Arabidopsis thaliana: one gene and its partner. The protein of the gene in region 1 interacts with the protein of each later gene in a pairwise test. Each region holds a gene or a part of one and is shown on either strand. Other genes may lie near its edges.

Region 1 (9,454 bases):
CTCGGAACATATATATCACAAAAGGTTTGCACGAATAGTAGTTTATATGACTTTATCAGAATATGTTGACTAAATATATCACGAAAGTACAACATCTATATATAAAAAGTAGCTTGAAAAATGGTAAAACAAACAAAATTATCATCGGAATATGATATTACGCAAAAAGACATATCAAGTTTATATAAATAGAATTAATCTAAAGAACGAAATTTAGGACTACATGCTACATAAAATATAAGAATTAGAAAGAAGTGAGCTTTCAGGCTTGAAACCTCAAAAAATAAAGTTGAGAAATCAGATCACTCAGAATTTGTTACCACTTTCAGTAACTCAAAACAATTTGTCTGGAAAAAAAAACACTTCCTATTGTATCAACCGGTCCTCCATCATAGGATCAAAGTTTCATATGCTCTCCATGAAGAGGAGATAGAATTTTTTTTCATTGTTGCGAGGCGCCCATTAAAATAAGTTCCCTATTCAAATTCCCCAATACCAACATAGTCCTTAGAACAAATTATTCCTCTTGTATAGTCCACATATATGAAAAACAGCCACATGTTCTCCCAAGGTAACTAGGTAATCAGTTTCTCGTTTGCTTTCACCTCCTTGTTAGTTGTTACCCTATTTCCACACTAAAAAAGTGAGCATATATTGACAAAAAATACCAGAACCGGTGGGAAATCTAATAACGTGAACAAAATATATATTTAAATGAATGAAATATAGTCAAACTAAACTGTTTTACATTTTTTTGTGAAACACTAAACTGTTTTACTTTAAGATGTTTTGAACGAATAAATACATGGAAGTGAACTATGTGCACATTACAACTACAACCAAGAAAATAAACAAAAAAAAAATTGTGATGATGTTTTTGGTCAGAGAAAATATCTAACGAATTTTCGAGCATATTAAACTAGCAGTCAAACATAAAATCATCGATAGACAAATAGTCAACTAGAAAAATATCATGGACCTACTACAAAAGTAGTCGAGGCGTTACATGCTCCACTATTCAAATCTGAAAATAACAAATATCGTCGTGGACATCATTACACTTGGTTTGACAAGACTGTCCGTATGATGGAGTAAAACCTGAAAATAATGGACCAATTGTTTTTTTTGGTTACTGACATGTTATATTCATAGTACTGTCACATGCGAATGATCAAGTCCCAAGAGGTGTATGTACACGTGCACCAATGAACAACAATAAATTCTTCTTTATGACAATATTCTCTTATCTATCTTTTCCTAAATATCATGCTACCTCTCCTTTTTGCTTTTTGATTTGTTGAAAAAACTTCTATTGCTTTTTATCTCTAAATAACTTTGCTTTATAAAAACTAGACACTTTCAGTTTTTGGGACGCAAAGTATTCATCTCATGCTATTTTTGTTTTAGATAATCATGGATGTCGTTTACGAGCATAAGATTCTTGTAACCTTCTTGTATGGCTGATGTTTAATTTTTTTTTATTTTTTTTTATATAACTATATCATTTGACTTTTAGCCTTTTACGTGTTACTCTTTCATTCTATATCAAATATAGACCTTCCTCTGAGTGGATATGTGGAAGTACGCAAAAAATATATCGGTTGAATGCACAGAACCTTAAAATGAAATGGTTCATAGTCAGAGTTATCTTCCAACTGTTAATAAATTTTCACGTGTATCAATAATTTCTTGTATCATATATAATTATGTCACAATTTACTAATCAATAAAAAATGTTAATAAAAGAAAATCAAAGGGGTTCGAGATCGTTTAAATGTCATCGTTGATCAGCTTGGAGGAGAGCGTTTTCATCGAACGATGGCTATCAATGTTCAAGAAAGCATTAGACAGTAAGACCATCTACGTTCATAAAGAGTTTATGGATATTTAAAGTTTAACTACAGAAAGACACTTCCTTTTTTTGGATGTCTAAAGTGTTTTATTTTTAGTTTTAAACTCAAATTTAATTTTAAAATAGAAAATACATTAAATCGAAACTTATACTATTTTAGGCGTTGAATCAGTGATCTAACCATAACTTGACAGCATAACGTCTAGACGGAGCCAATACAACCGCCTAAACCGCTTTTAAATAAAACATAAATGCTTAAGTTGTTCCTCGTATTTATCCCAAATTAAAAAAAAAACGTTTTTCTATCATGGGAACAAGATCTAACGTCGAAGTCCATTAGTAATTAATCTTCAGAATGTATAAATACTTCATATGTTTACCTTTCAAGGATTTAATAATTAAGGTTTGATCCTAGGATTCGATCTTACACATGTGTTTCTTCATACGTGAGCCCATAAACTTAAAACCAAAATATTGCTCTACTTTTCTAGCTTATGTATTGAATGCAAACTCTTTAGTTTGATATATAATGATCGACTTGGATATTATCAGTACTTTAGTAGCAACACAAAAAAGTGTATTATGGAACCCAAAAGTAAAACAGCAGATTCTTCCCACTGCCTGATTTTTGCATCGAAAAGAAATGAATACACGTAAAGTATAAATATAACACTTCATTTCATGTAGATTAATATAATTATCGCATCACACACTATATAAGTAAAACACTCTCATTTTCCTCCCCCTCTCATTTTTATTACACACTTATATATTGAACTACTATAGGCATCATCACCGTTCGTTACTCGTATCATAAAATGGTTATTAAATTAAAATACTATAGATGCATAAATCTCATCAGAGTATGCAATATCAATTGGTTATAAAGGAAGAAGCCATCTAAAGTCTTCTTCCTCCGCAGCCACTCTCCCTCTGACAATTGTAGAAAACTGCGGCCACGGGAAGGCCGAGATTGTAGATCTCAGCAAACTCGCGAGTGTTGAAGTTCTGGCGCCACCCTGGTGCATACACTGTTTGCCTGCCAAGCTGTCGAAACAATATAAACACGACACGATGAATTCCTGCAGTGGGACTTGGATTTTCGTAACACACAATCTCATTGCCTGAAAAATAAAAAGTTCATCAAAACATGTGAATTTTCTAGCTAGTAACTAATTAATTAGGCTATTTCATATACCTTTCTATATTTCTAACACCTAGCGATCTAATATATAGAATAAAACTCACCAAAGGTTGTTCCAGTTGTAGCAGGGATATCAGTCACCAACCTGTAATGAGAGATAGCCATACACATGTTTAAGCTATGGCACCACAACATAATTGAAATGCTACTTCTTTTTTTGACAGAATTGAAATGCTACTTAAACTTTATTTTCTTACAAAAAAATAATAGCAACGTAACTAATTCCTAGATTACTAGTGCAAGTGACTAGCAAAACATGCAATAACATTCAAGTGCATGAATATATAAATAAAAATAAAAAGTGATATAACAGGAAACCTAGTCCTGCTCACTTCAAGGAACAATGATGATGTCATCAGGCTATTTTAAGCTCAATGATATTCCCGTACAAAGACCACTTTAAAGTGAAAAAAACAAATCTTAGTTCAAGTCACGTCCTATACATTCTATAGAATCTATGTGCGATCAGTAAAATACACAGACATACATAATACATATTTACATTACACATAGTAAAGTTTTTGAACAAAATATGTCAATTTAGCTTGGGTGTGGGCTTTTTTGGGAGACAAATTGATGCATCGCACTCTCGAAGTTGATTTTATATGTCTCCTTCTATTAAATGTAAAATGTTTGAGTCTTAAGTTATAAGTGATCTACTCAATTTCAAAGTATCCAAAATACATGTCCAGTTTTACATGTGTAGTTGAGTGTCTATATATATAATTCGAGCAACATGTTTGAGCTATGCTATAACTTAAAAGTGAATTAATTAAAGAGTTGAGTTAGTGCACAAACCAATGGAGATATTCTCGGAGGTGAGGGTTGCTAGGACTTGGAACATCTGGATCCACCATAACCTTCATTAAACAAATAAGACGAAGAATTATAAGAAGATAAGATTATCATTTTCAAAGAAATCAAGAAAGCAAAAGGTCTTTTTTTCTTTTTCTTTTTTGAAGTTTGGAAAATGAGATAACACAAGAAAGAAGAAGAAAACTATGAATAGAAAAAAGGTAGTAGCTACATGTCTATATATAGCAGAGAGTATCTTAAAGGCTGGCTTGAATATCAGAATATCCTTATTCAAACAGTTTTCAAATATTCCACAACAGAGATTCATCAATATATATATTTGTTTTAATGAACATCAATTTTCTATATCTTTTTGCAGATATTTTAATTAGCAAAAAGGATATTTCAAAAATGCCATTTTCAAAGTATAGTAAAAAATTATACTTAAAAAAAAACAAAAAAAAACAAATGCAAATTAAATTATTAGGTAGGAGGAACAAAGAAAAATCCCAAGATTCTTATCCTAAATAATAATCACTTATGCAAGAAGTTGGTGGAAAAAATTTGGGATAGATCATAAATTTATCTCTATTTAATTTAGGATAGGAAGAAATATTTTATGGGTCCATCTTCATGAAAAAAGAAATGAAATATAAATTAGTTTTTGATTTGGGTATCATAAAGTAAAACCAAATAAATCATAAAAAAACAGAGAAAAGGAAAGCGTGGGGCATTTTTAACCAAGGTCTCTGCATGCCCAAGAAATATTTTCAGTATACCCCAAAAAAGGAAAATAATTTCTATTTTAAAAAAGAAGGTGTAAGAAGCACTGAAGAAACTAAAGAAGAAAAGAGACAAAAGGGAGTTCAAGTGAAAGAACCAAAGTATAGAAGTTCCTGAGGTCTTCTCCACCAATCTCAACTCTTGGCTTGTTTTGAACCTGAGAAGGCCTTAGATCCAAGCCATTAGTCACCTCTCTTTGGCCATAAGTAACCTTTAGAGTGATTGATCTATTAAACGGATCAAGAACGTCTCCAACAACTCTGCTTACTATAAGAGGGTCTCTTATATTTATAGACATCTTTGATCTTGAACAAACAGGTGGTTTCTCTGTGTTGATTGTTTCTGTTTTACTTGTTTTTGTTTCTGCTTCTTTAATTTGTATCATAGGCATGAACCCTCTACACATATTTATACTGTTTCGGATTTGCATTAACTCGGGTCGGTGAAATCATAACCACAATCTTTTTCTTGTCTATTGATGTACTAGAATCTAAAACTGATTCTACGTACATCACACATTGTCGTCTTATTTCATATTTTTCTTTCTTTTTATTTCTGTTTGTGGTATTCCAAACCCACCACACTAATACACTGGAAATATTCCAAATTATATCTCCCACTTGGTAGCCACTAATTTTTGATTTATTTCCTTTAACAAGATACCTCTCTCGACTAAATATTATTTACTTTTATACAAAGATATTAATTATGATAATGAGTAATCAGTAGTTTCATATATATTTAGTTTTGCCATATATTAACATAATTTATCATAACAAAGTAAGATTATTAATAAAAATAAGAAAAAAGTAGGGTACCGCCAAGTTTATAGAGAAAAAAAAATTACAGTATCACTTGTTATGTTTTTAAAACTATTATTTAGAGATATAAAGAAAAAAAAAATTCTTAAAAAATTCGAAAGCGAAAACGTTCTAAAAGAAAAAAACTAAAAAAAAAGTTGAGATAGAAATCATAGAAGAAATGATATATTTTATAAAACAGCCTTTTCTTGTAGTTATACCAGGTAGAACAAGGGATCCTTCAGGTTAGATAGAACCAGGACATTTGAGAATAGTCACCTATTTTTCTAGCCGCTTGTGTTATATGGTCGACAAACAAATCTCAAACATGTAGAATGAAGGCAGTTATTTTCATCGTCCATACCTACCAATGTCCGAACTCAAATACGCAAAATTATCTCAAAATGAATTAAGTACAAGATATCTGCAATTAAATAATATAAACCAAATCAATTGTTTTATTTCTCTTCTTTTTTTATAAACAAGCGGCCATATTATGGAAAAGTGAGTTTTATAATTGAGATAGTATCTAGTGTCTTGAAACAATTATATCATACGGTAATCTATCTATACATATAATATTAACTATTAAAAATCTAAAGCAAAATAATGATTACTTTTTAAAATTAGACATTAGTTTGGTTGTAAAAATACTAACCATCCATTTGCACGACCAGGATAATTGGTATATATACTTATGCGTCTATAAATAGGTATGGATTTGCTAATTTGAGAGATTTTCTTTTTGACATTGCATCAACATATATAGATGTAACTACCATTACCACTAATTAGAGCATTTCTTAAGTTCAAAGATGAAACTTATAACCATAGCCTAACAACTGTAGGAATTATTCTTTCTTTTTCTTTTAATTGGTAATTAAATAATTAGCGATAGGTTCTACTGTCCAAACTGGAAAATAAAGGAATTATTCAGTGATGTAGTTTTTTGTAACATCTCAGTAATGTATTCATATTGAACTTTATCTTATCATTTCAGACTTCAGCCACTGTTCTACACGTCCATAGGTTAACTTCATCTTAGGTTGAAATCCAAAATATTTGGTAACCTTCATAGAAATTTCAGATTTGTTTACTAAAAAAGACGTCTACGATCGACCATTGATAATCGAAATCGCAATTAAAAAAAACTCGAAATCTGCTATATGCACTTTTTAACGACTAGCATTTATTTTCTACTAATTTTAGTTACACACAAAAAAATGTATGCATTTTTAAATATTGGACAGGAGAGCTCAGTACTATAAGAATTGTTAGTAAATTTTGTCATTCAATCATGTTAGTGTTCATACGAAACAAAAGATGTGATGTAGAAAAAAATAGGTCGCAGTCGCAGACAAGATTAATTGTTCGCTAAAATGAGATAGATGGATTGTCCGCCACTTGTGTATATCATTTTTCATTTGTTCAGAAAAACAAAAGTGTATCTTTTTGTTTTTTGATTTAATCCGATATATATTCATTTTGTATTTCTTCTTAAAGAGACTTACGTTTGCTTTAAGATAAGTAGTTTGCTTTCTATTTTCAGCAACTTTTTAAGATTTAACTAATTTATTTCTATTATAAAATTTAACGTATCTGCCACTTGTCTTTTACTTATGAATAAAACGTTTATAGTATATCGTAAGATGATATAGTAAGCATTGACATGTAAAGAGAAAATAGAAAAATATATTTTCTTTATCTTTCGAAGATGCATTGTTTAAGAAAATCAGGTAGAACCTTTTAGAGTTTAGAGAACATATTTCAATATCATTGTAACATATTAAGTTGACTCTATATCTATGAAGCCGTGATGTTCCTAAACACTACATGTTTAAAATTATTTTCTTCAAATATGTTTTGTCTTTATCAACTCCACAAATAGCATCTTTGAAAAACATTAGTGTATTAAGTTCTAACCACCATATGTCGCATAATGTTCGCAACCTTTTGGTAATGTAGATAAAGGAAACGATTAATTGAAGATTTTTGCCGTTTAACTAAATTTCTTCCACTAGATTTTCGCATGCAATTTCCTTACGAAGCAACATATAGTGCATCACAGAACATATTCTAAGTTTCCTATTAAAAACGTTGTGAACAAATTAATTGTACTCTATATTTATTTAAGTTAATGAGACACTTTGCATATGTTTAAGCTCATAAAGCTTTGAGAAGGTTTCCCCGGTGAAAATTTTGGAAAAGTAGTTTTAGTCAAATAAAAAAAGAATATTAACTTATGTTTTGACGACCCAAAAAAAATGAAAGGAATAACTTATGAAATAGCATTTTCATTAGAAAACGAATGTACGTCACTTTAGGACTTTATTTCTAGAACGAAAACATTTTGGTTGGTTGAAATATTCAATGAAAATCAAATAATTCAAAAACATTGTGATGATTCAATCTTAGAAGAGAAGATAATTACAAAGACACATACTTGATAATAAACCATCAAAAACTGAACATAGAGATTAGTTTAGAGATTTTGATAGTATCATTGGTGTAATGACCATGATAAGAAATTTCAATAGTCTTTTGCGGTGGAGCTAGTAGAGGCTTCTGCGTCACCATGAAGAAATATCTTATCTCCAAGTGACAAAAAGGTGTTAAAGCCGATAGTCAAATGTTTGTGCTTCTTAAACAACTTCTTCAATCGTGCATACAATATAGAACGATCAATCCGTTGTGCCTTAAAATCTAGAAGATAATTAAACATAGATATTTACCTTTTGGATTACGAAGATTGGCAAGTGGATGAGGAACAAGAGATCCGGCAAACCTACGTTTACAAGTTTTTGCTAAATCTCATTATGTGAAAAACTTGATGTGATTTTGGGCTAGCATAAGGGATCTTGATAGATTTTCTTCTCTTTTTTTCTTCTTCTTCATTTAACCTATCATCTGAATAGAAGTTAGAAGAATCGGTGATTCAAAAGCAGATTTCTTTACCTCTGTGAATTGTAATTCATCGGACTCGAAAAAATCGATCGTCAGTATTCGATGACATTTCTAAATCATATCCTCATGAGTGCCCTTTGTCATCAAATTAATTGCGACACATGTTCTCTAAGCTAGAAGATAATCCTTCAATTATCTTCCCATGTTGGTTTATTATCTGCAAGTCTTAGATTAACTTGTTTTATGTTTGATATTATTCTTTACTCAATAAAGTGAGATGACAAAAAAAATTGCGACTTCTCAAATAATATGTAAGAGATTTTAGATAGTTTAGCTTATAATTAGTCTAATGAAAGTTTATAAAGTTTTGAGAAGAGGATTTCTTTTAATAAGATCCCACATTGAAAGTTTTAAAAAGAAACACTAGTATATAAGAGATATGTGTCAATCCAATTTTTGTCAATTGATATTTAGTTGGACGCATATGAATATATGATACTTAACATCATATCCAAGTCCGAAAACAAGTTATTTGAATGCAGTCCGATTGTCCGGAACTGAATGTCCAACAAAAGCTTGATTTCATTTTGTCGAGATTTAGAAGTACATTATGATGAGTTTTAAAAAAAAAATCTAAAAAACCACGATCTCTTAAGGCATGTGGAGCCCCATATAGATAGATGGAAAAATACTTAATTATGGTCAATCCATTCTTTACTATTTGATTTTGAGTTAAAACTCCAAATAAATTAATATGCTTAACCCCTATACCTTAACCCCAAATCTCGTTGCCTAAAACTAAATCTAAACTTGTTGTGAGTTCTCCAAAAGATCTTGTGCTACAAATTTGAATTAAATTTCATCTCTCCATCATATTTTATTTACTTATGAAGTTAAATGTGTAAACTACGTCAATTATTTTCTGCAACTTAGATTCGCAAAAAATGTGGGGTATTAGTAACATCGATAAAATTAATTATGTGAAGCTAACAACTTACAATTATCTAACTAACTTTATAAGACTTAACACACATAAGTGCTTGTTACGAACACTAAAATGTAGAAGAACCTAAAAGATAGTGAACCCCCACAATCCTTTCTATTAAAAGTGACCCT
Region 2 (8,241 bases), on another chromosome or scaffold:
GGCTGCATGTTTTACACTTTTTTTCAAAATAAATATTTAGCTAAAAACTCACGCGTAAAGCTAAACGCGGTAGAATGGCTAATTCGTAATTTGCAACTCGTGCAAGCAGACTCCGACGTGGCAGTGAAAAAAGAATAATCTACATTCGATAATACGACCAAACCATCACCGAAACTCTCGTGACTCGTGTACTCTCACGATCACATTAGCTACTCCACTATCTTCTTATTTTCTTCTTCTTTTTTTGGATAATCACTTTGACCTCTCGTTCCAAGACTAATACCTTCTCCACAAGTACCATCTCTGTAATTCTTGACTTTCTTCAACCTATGAGGTGAAGCATTTCAACACTATCTCCTCTCTTACAAAAATATTCTAAATTTCTATGATTTTCCATGTTTGTTCACTTTGATTTCACTCTCCAAGAAACATTTTTTTCTCCGATGAGTTTACACTTAAACAGATAAAATTTTCACTTTAAGAAAAAAATTCTTAAAATGTTCTCTGTTTTGAAGATCTTTAACGTAGTAGAGAATTTTATTGTCGCAGTCGAACCATAATGTGATTCCTTGGTAACTTCAAATCTCTTTGTTATTCATAATCAGAATCTGTTCACACGAGGTAAAAGTCTCAAACTTTCTTATGTTCTGCTTCGTTTTAGGTCTCAAAATTTGAGTTTTTGAGCTGTTTTTGGTTAGGAAGAGAAATGGCTAATTCATGGGATCAGTTAGGAGAAATTGCGTCAGTGGCTCAGCTTACAGGCATAGACGCTCTGAAACTGATTGGAATGATAGTAAACGCTGCGAATACAGCTCGAATGCACAAGAAGAATTGTCGTCAATTCGCTCACCATCTTAAGCTCATCCGTAATTTGCTAGAGCAGATTAAAAACTCTGAGATGAATCAACGTTCAGAGATTCTTGAGCCGCTTCAAGGACTTGATGATGCTCTTAGAAGATCTTACATTTTAGTCAAAAGTTGTCAAGAAAAAAGTTATCTTTACTTGTTGGCTATGGGCTGGAACATTGTTAACCAGTTTGAAAAAGCTCAGAATGAGATTGATCTGTTTCTCAAGATCGTTCCACTAATAAATATGGCGGATAATGCTCGGATTCGGGTAAATTCGCTTGCATTGTTTACTGGTTTCTTGTTCTTTTTGTTGTTGCCATAGTTATAATGATTTGTTATGCAGGAGAGGCTAGAAGCTATTGAACGTGATCAGCGTGAGTATACTCTTGATGAAGAGGATAGAAAGGTGCAAGATGTTATTTTGAAACAAGAATCTACTAGAGAAGCTGCTACATCGGTTTTAAAGAAGACGCTCTCTCGTTCATACCCGAACATGGGGTTCTGCGAAGCGCTTAAAACCGAGGAGGAGAAACTGCAACTTGAGTTGCAACGTTCGCGGGCGCGGTATGATGCTGATCAATGTGAAGTTATACAACGTTTGATTGATGTTACACAAACTGCTGCTACTGTTGAACCTAATCTTGAAAAGGTGTTGACTAAGAAAGAAGAGCTTACCTCTAGCAAGAAGAGAGATGATTTGTATGACACGGATAGTAGTAGTATTCGAGCAGATTCAAGGTTAATCCCATTTACTCCGATATAGATGAAAATATTCATATACTTAATGTGTTCTCACAAAACGTGTTGTTCACGTTTGATCATTGAAGGCTAATGTTTGATTGGTGTCTAATGGTTGAATGTAGATCAACGTCTTATGTTTCATCCGGACATGAACTACTTTCGGGAAGATCATTGCAACACCGTGGAAATTGGCACGCCGACTTGCTGGATTGTTGTTCAGAACCTTGTCTTTGTAAGCCCTCTCATTCTGTTTTTATCTAACCAAACAATGTTCCACGCTTTCTTTTCTCGTTAAGATTGACGAGTGACACTTCAAGATTCATACTTATCTACTTTTGAATTTGTAAAATAAGGCTTGAAGACACTCTTTTTCCCCTGTGGTACATTGGCAAAGATTTCCACTGTGGCAACTAGTAGGCAAATCTGTAAGAAATCTTATATGAATGCAGACTAGTTTTTTTTCCATGTATGAGCTATCAAGAATTTGATACAAAATTTTGATTTTATGGTTTTACAGCTTCAACTGAAGTGTGTAAGAACCTAATCGTGTATTCTTTGATACTCTCATGCTGTTGCTATACTTGCTGCATAAGGAAGAAGCTTCGAAAGACACTGAACATAACGGTACATCAATTAAACCTCTACTTTCTTAAGGTCGTGATGCTAAGGTTTTTACGGATGTCTTGAATTTGCAGGGAGGGTGCATTGACGACTTTTTGTCACATCTAATGTGTTGTTGTTGTGCCCTTGTCCAAGAACTGAGAGAAGTCGAGATTCATCGAGCTTCTTACGGTAAAATATATACATTTACAGATATATTAACATACTTCTGAATCTAATTAGTATTTAAAGCAGGTACAGAGAAGAGTAATAAGGAAATGAGTCCACCAACACCTCAGTTTATGGAAGAATGAGACTTGTCCAGCACGAAACAGAACCCAGTTATTATGATGAAATGAATCTTCTTATTTCATTGTTGACATTAAGATTTAACGTAAATTAGTTTGGGAAAAATACTCCATAGAGATTCTAAAACCTTCCTTATTCTATACTAGATGCAAATAGGTGACAAATCATTGTTAACAATAGACCTTTTGAAGAAGAAAAACAAACATTTGTGGTTGAATTTGTAAGTTATAATATGAAATTTTCAGTGCAGAAAAATAAGGTTTCATGTTGTGACCAAAGAAAAAAAAAAAGAGTTTTTCACGTTAGTTTTGCAGATTGAATATTTTGTTCATAGCTTTTGGTATTTTGAAGATTTTATTTTCGTCAAATAGAGGATCAAGATTAGCTGATTCTTTCCCATTTTTTATGTGCTGCCTGCTAAATAAAGTTAAGAAATTTACACTGAATAACATGTCATCTCTATCATATTGTTGTTAATTATTCCTTTAGATTGGTTCCAAATGTTTGAGGAAGAAGGTGGATGCATCAGAAGAACAAATATTATTGGATCAGAATGAAGCAAGCATTTGTAGCATCTTTAAAGTTGCTACAAGAAGGAAGTCAGCAAATTCATTGCCCAACTTTTATTTATACATTAGATGTTACCAAATTTGCTCTTAGGTGTTTATTTTGTTTCTCTGTTGTTTCTGGTTACTAATAAAGCCAACTTTATAATGTGAGCATATTCATGGCCCAACTTTTATTAAAACATTAGATGCTACCAAATTTGCTCTTAGGTATTTATTCTGTTTCTCTGTTGTTTCTGGTTGCTAATAAAGCATACACAAAAAGAAGTCAACCAAGAAAAAATCTTCTTAGCATCATTATGAAGACTTATATCATCTGACAATACAGTGCAGTAATGGCTTAACCAGTGAAAACAGAAACTCATGTACTAGCTAGATAAGGACTTGACTTGGCATTACAATAATAGAGGTTAAGTAGAGAAGAAAAAAAGTACAAAAGTCAAAAGAGTTGATAGGAAACCAGAGAAGAAGAAGAAAGTTAGTTGCTTTCTTTTTCTAGACACTTTTCTTCTACACACACTTTTCTTTTACATTACTTACCACCACAAATTTAACTTAGCTAAAATGTACAAACTTTTTCTGTTTTTCTCATCTTCATAAGAAACACTTGAAACTCCCCCAAAAAGAAATAGTAGATTTTTCTCAAAATGGAGCTGTGGAAGACCGTTGTAGTGTTTTCTTTACTTGGTTTTGAGTTGCTTCGGCTATTTTCAGCTGTATTTTCCAAAAAACAGAAAAATAAAAATATTGGCCTTAAGTAGCAGAATCTTACATTCACAAGAAAAAGTTACTGCAAGAAGTAATGCACAAGTTTCTCAAGACAAAATTAGACTAAGGCATTAAAGCAAGAAGTCAGTGTTAGTTTTACCTGCTCTTGTTGTATCTTGAGTCTTGCATTCTCTGTCTGCAAGTGAGCAATTTCAAGCTCAAGTTCGTTTGTATATGCCTGAAAGATCCATGGACCAATTTTAGTACAGAGGAATTGTTGATTTAATACGAGATTCTGTTGATTTAGAGGAATTAGAAAGTAGAAGAGTGAGGAGAGACACATTCCTGCTTCCTAGCCCTTGAACGAGCAGCAGATTCTCTGTTCTTGATCATACGCTTATACCTTCTGTCTCCTCTAGTATCATCAGAATCTTGGCCTCTTTTCTTACCAAGACAACCAAACTTTGCAGATTCCTCAAAGGAGCGAGGGTTAGAAGCAAGAAGATTTTCTGTGGTATCAAGAAACTCGAATCCAACACCGGAGTTTAAGCTGAGGACAGTGGCAGGAGGCGGAAGAGGCAGAGAGCCATAGAGAGCAGTGACAATGGTGGAAGAGGAAGGTGGTGGTGGTGGTGGTGGTGGTTGATTCAGAGGCATGTTGAGGAAATCTTGAAAGATGGAGTTATTAGGGTTTTGGTTCTTTAACATTGGTTCATGACCAATGTTTAGTTGCCGATGGTAGTGAAGTGAACCAAGGTTGATTTCTTTCCATACTTCTTCCATGGTGACTTGAGATTTGTTATGGCCTAGGGAGGATGATGTTGATAATGATGATGATGAAGAGGAAATTGAAAAGGCACTATGGTTGTTGATCTTATTATGCTTTGCTGATGACAACATTGGAGAACAGAACAGAATAGCATAGAATGCTTTGTTTTTTGGTTTTGGGATGTCAAATGTCTTATAGCTTTGAGACAGAGAGAGAAAGATTGTGAACTTCTTGTCTCTCAATGGTCATTTCTAGTATCATGATGGTTGGGTCCAGTAGTAGAAGAAACAGAGATGTAATTGTTCTAGAAAGAAAAAAAACAAAATCAAAATATGTTAATGTAATGACTTTTTGTCACTTAATCCAAAATTTGATAGTGATAAATCTATAGTTATGACTTATGTGACGTCAAACTTTTTCTCCTAAGATAATCATTTTTATGTTACAGAAGGAATTATTTACCAATTAGCATGAATGCATGATACTTAAATCTGGAGTTGGTGGGTAAAGAGATTCTTTGTTTTGAAAAGGTAACCAATAAGCTATGGTTTTGGTCTCACTTTAATATCACAACAATTCAATAGACCCTTTAAATCGCTTTCAAGTGTGTGTGATCTTTGCTTTAATTTTTACCAACTTTTCTGTTTGTTTTTACCTTTTTGTAATTATATATTTTCAACTTTTCTAATAGTTTTGCTTACATAATATATCTCTAATCTATCTTCAAATCCGATCAAATAGATTAATGCACTACAACCACTTAAACACGTATATAAAAAACTAGATCCATGACTTATGAGCACCATATCATATCATAATTTGAGTTTGACCTCATTTCGAGTTAAATATGGTTTTGAAAAGAAGAAAGAAGTGTATATTTGTATTATGTCATTACAATAATGTCACAACATGTGATTATGAATATGAAAGATATAACTGTATATATTTATCTATTTTATACATTAATATTGGTAGTGGTAATGGAAAGCAACTTATTGGTTGAGTAAAAGATAACTGAGCCTGATGTGATTGATTTTTCAAAGTTCCCAGAATGGAGAGGCTTATAATGCCAAAGGACAATTGAAAAAAAGAAAATAAAACAGGGTCATGAAATTTTATATATTTTACAAATAATCACATTTCCTCATCATCATATTCTTTTTCTGATTAATTTATTTTATGTTTTAGATCATTGAGAAAACTATTCAATTGTGACTAACAGATATGTTATATGTTCCTCATTTCATAAATGATGTTTTTATCTAAACAATTTCGCATTTTCACCATATCTTAGCATAAAAAAAAATATTTTCTTTCTAAATCACTTTCACTTAGACCATTTCCAATGGTTACCTCTATATTTTTCTATATTTTAAAAATGATTATATTTAGAGGCATTGTGCTCCAATGGTCACTTCTAAAATAGAGTTTTTTAAAAAATAAAGGAAAAATAGAGATAAATTGTAGACATTTCTATTTATAGAGATACAATGTAGATATTTCTATTTTTCTTTTATTTTAGAGGTAACTATTGTTGGAATTAAAGCTTAGTTATTTTATAAAAGACCCAATGAGAAACATACCCAACAACCATTAGAGCACAATGTTTCTAAAATAAAGTCACCTCTGTAAATAGAGAAAAATATAAAGATCACTATTGGAAATACCCTTAACCAATCGAAGTTGTTTTATATTTTAGGTTCATTAAAAAATTCGGCGAGCCGAAGTATACACTTTTTGAGAGAATTAGTTGGATAGTAAGGGTATGGATCACCACCCGAAAAAAAAAAATCATTTTCTATATAGCTTTGATACCACTAATAATACCCCAGCCAAATCAAACATGAATTTGTTTCTGAACCCAAAAAGAAGTACCCGTTCTGATTCGGTAGAAGAAAAATAAAATCGAATACGAAACCATGAAAATCTCTTAATCGAAATTAATAAGTAATAACCCACCTTTTTGTCCAAAAAAAAAAAAAAGTAATAACCCACCCATGTTATGTTTGTCTACGGACCAAAAAAAAAAGTTATGTTTGTCTACGAGTCCAAAGACAATGAGATTGACGTGGCAAGCTCCCATGGATAGAACAAGTGTCAGGTCTGTGTTACTCTTTCCCCAAACTTCATTAGCTTTAATTCTCTTCGTATTAATCTTTGTCCAATATATCCTATGGACCTTTCGTTTCACTACATATTAGACCTAGTTTAGACTAATTTTAGATGGAGCTTTTACAGAAATGAGTAATATTTGGCCCAAAAATTTGAAATTGAGCATTTTTACAATGGGCTTATAGAGTTATGCATTTTCTATGAACTGAATTGACAAAATTACTTTAGAGTTTAATTAATGTCATCTTCTTCTTCTTTTTCGATGGCTTCACAAACATTTCTATACCAACAACCTTGTTCTAATCAACCCAATAAAATCAAGTAACTTCTTTTTAATGGAAGAAAGTTAAATCCTAAATGGATACTATATAGTGAACCCAAAGGATCCAATCTTAAACAATAGTCAAATCTATTAAGATTCCAATGGTTTTCCTTCTTCCTCTTTTAAAATAAAACGAGAGATGATAGAATTCTGATTGATATCGAGAAATTAAAATTCAGAAAAGGTATGGATGATAATCGCTTGCTTCGTCAAAGAAGAAGATCAACCACGCTAGATCTGAATCGAAATTTTGGTTGAGGTGATGGAGAAGTAATTGAGCATCAATGGTGAGTTCAACAGTAGGTTTCATGTCATTGAAGAGCCAGCAAAATAATCAAAATTTCTGGGATTTGGCTATAATGAGAGGGAGGCAGTTGGCTCCGTCAATGGCAGCGGCGGAGGTGGTAGTCGCGACGGCGAGAAAAAAAATAAAAGAGTGAGTGTAAGCTGAAAGGGGTGAAAATTATAAAACACTATCACCTATAATTACCTGTTTTTGGGAGTACATTGAAATGTTCCTAAAATCACAAAAACATACACTTTAAAGTGCTAATTCCATAATTGATTCAACTTTAGATATGACAAAGAATTAGGAAAATAAAACAAAAAATAGTCTTAAAATGATTCAGTAGACGTGACTCGTAGGCTTCAAAAGAAGACAGAATCGCAAAGTACAGTGTGGTTCTAATAGTGACGAAAATAATTATATATATATTCGTTATTATTAAAATCACATTGCATTTTATTCGCAATTAAACCGCATGTCTCTATCCAAAGCTCTAGATTTCAAATGATGATTGTTCTGTATGGTGTGGTTGCAACCCTAATATCTATACAAAACCGCCCTACAATTCTTCACAATTATCTAGCACGTCTTCATTGGTAAGTTATTTTCTCTTTCTATTCTTTTCATAGGTGATGATGTTAATTCATTCTGCTCAACCTGCTTATATGGCTTTAAAAACATGTATATTACTGTTTCAGGAAAAAGACATGTTATCACTATTTTAATTACAACTAGTAAAAATATTGAATTTAAGGTGATATGTGGTATGTTTATAAAGGTATTCTAAATTGAGTTATATTAGTTCTATATAATGTTTCAAATGTATTTTATAAGTTCTTTTTGGTTAAAAAGTTTATATAATATGCCGTCAACCAATATTATCGATTATAAATGTAAATGTGAAAGAAGAAGAAAAAACACACTTCTATTTGCATTTGGCTTTTACATTTACGATTTATGAAAATACATTCGAAAATAC

What was found.
Region 2: the proteins of FT (region 1) and BZIP27 interact in a two-hybrid assay, tested with the Arabidopsis thaliana proteins (one study listed by BioGRID).

Annotation. Positions count from the first base shown.
Region 1 is NC_003070.9:24,326,988-24,336,441, reverse strand, and holds FT (PEBP (phosphatidylethanolamine-binding protein) family protein), read right to left. Parts: upstream 5,070-9,454; 5' UTR 5,065-5,069; coding exon 4,732-5,064; intron 3,917-4,731; coding exon 3,855-3,916; intron 3,142-3,854; coding exon 3,101-3,141; intron 2,977-3,100; coding exon 2,753-2,976; 3' UTR 2,443-2,752; downstream 1-2,442. UniProt on the Arabidopsis thaliana protein: Component of the mobile flower-promoting signal (floral stimulus or florigen). Promotes the transition from vegetative growth to flowering. Required for 'SEPALLATA3' (SEP3) and 'FRUITFULL' (FUL) accumulation in mature rosette leaves.
Region 2 is NC_003071.7:7,719,418-7,727,658, reverse strand, and holds BZIP27 (basic region/leucine zipper motif 27), read right to left. Parts: upstream 4,835-8,241; 5' UTR 4,674-4,834; coding exon 4,086-4,673; 3' UTR 4,012-4,085; coding exon of another isoform or gene 3,934-4,011; intron 3,780-3,933; coding exon of another isoform or gene 3,708-3,779; 3' UTR 3,368-3,707; downstream 1-3,367. Other genes in the region: MCA2 (PLAC8 family protein), read left to right, coding at 707-1,117, 1,193-1,587, 1,713-1,822, 1,944-2,015, 2,108-2,214, 2,286-2,382, 2,446-2,504. UniProt on the Arabidopsis thaliana protein: Transcription factor required for the transition to flowering promoted by FT.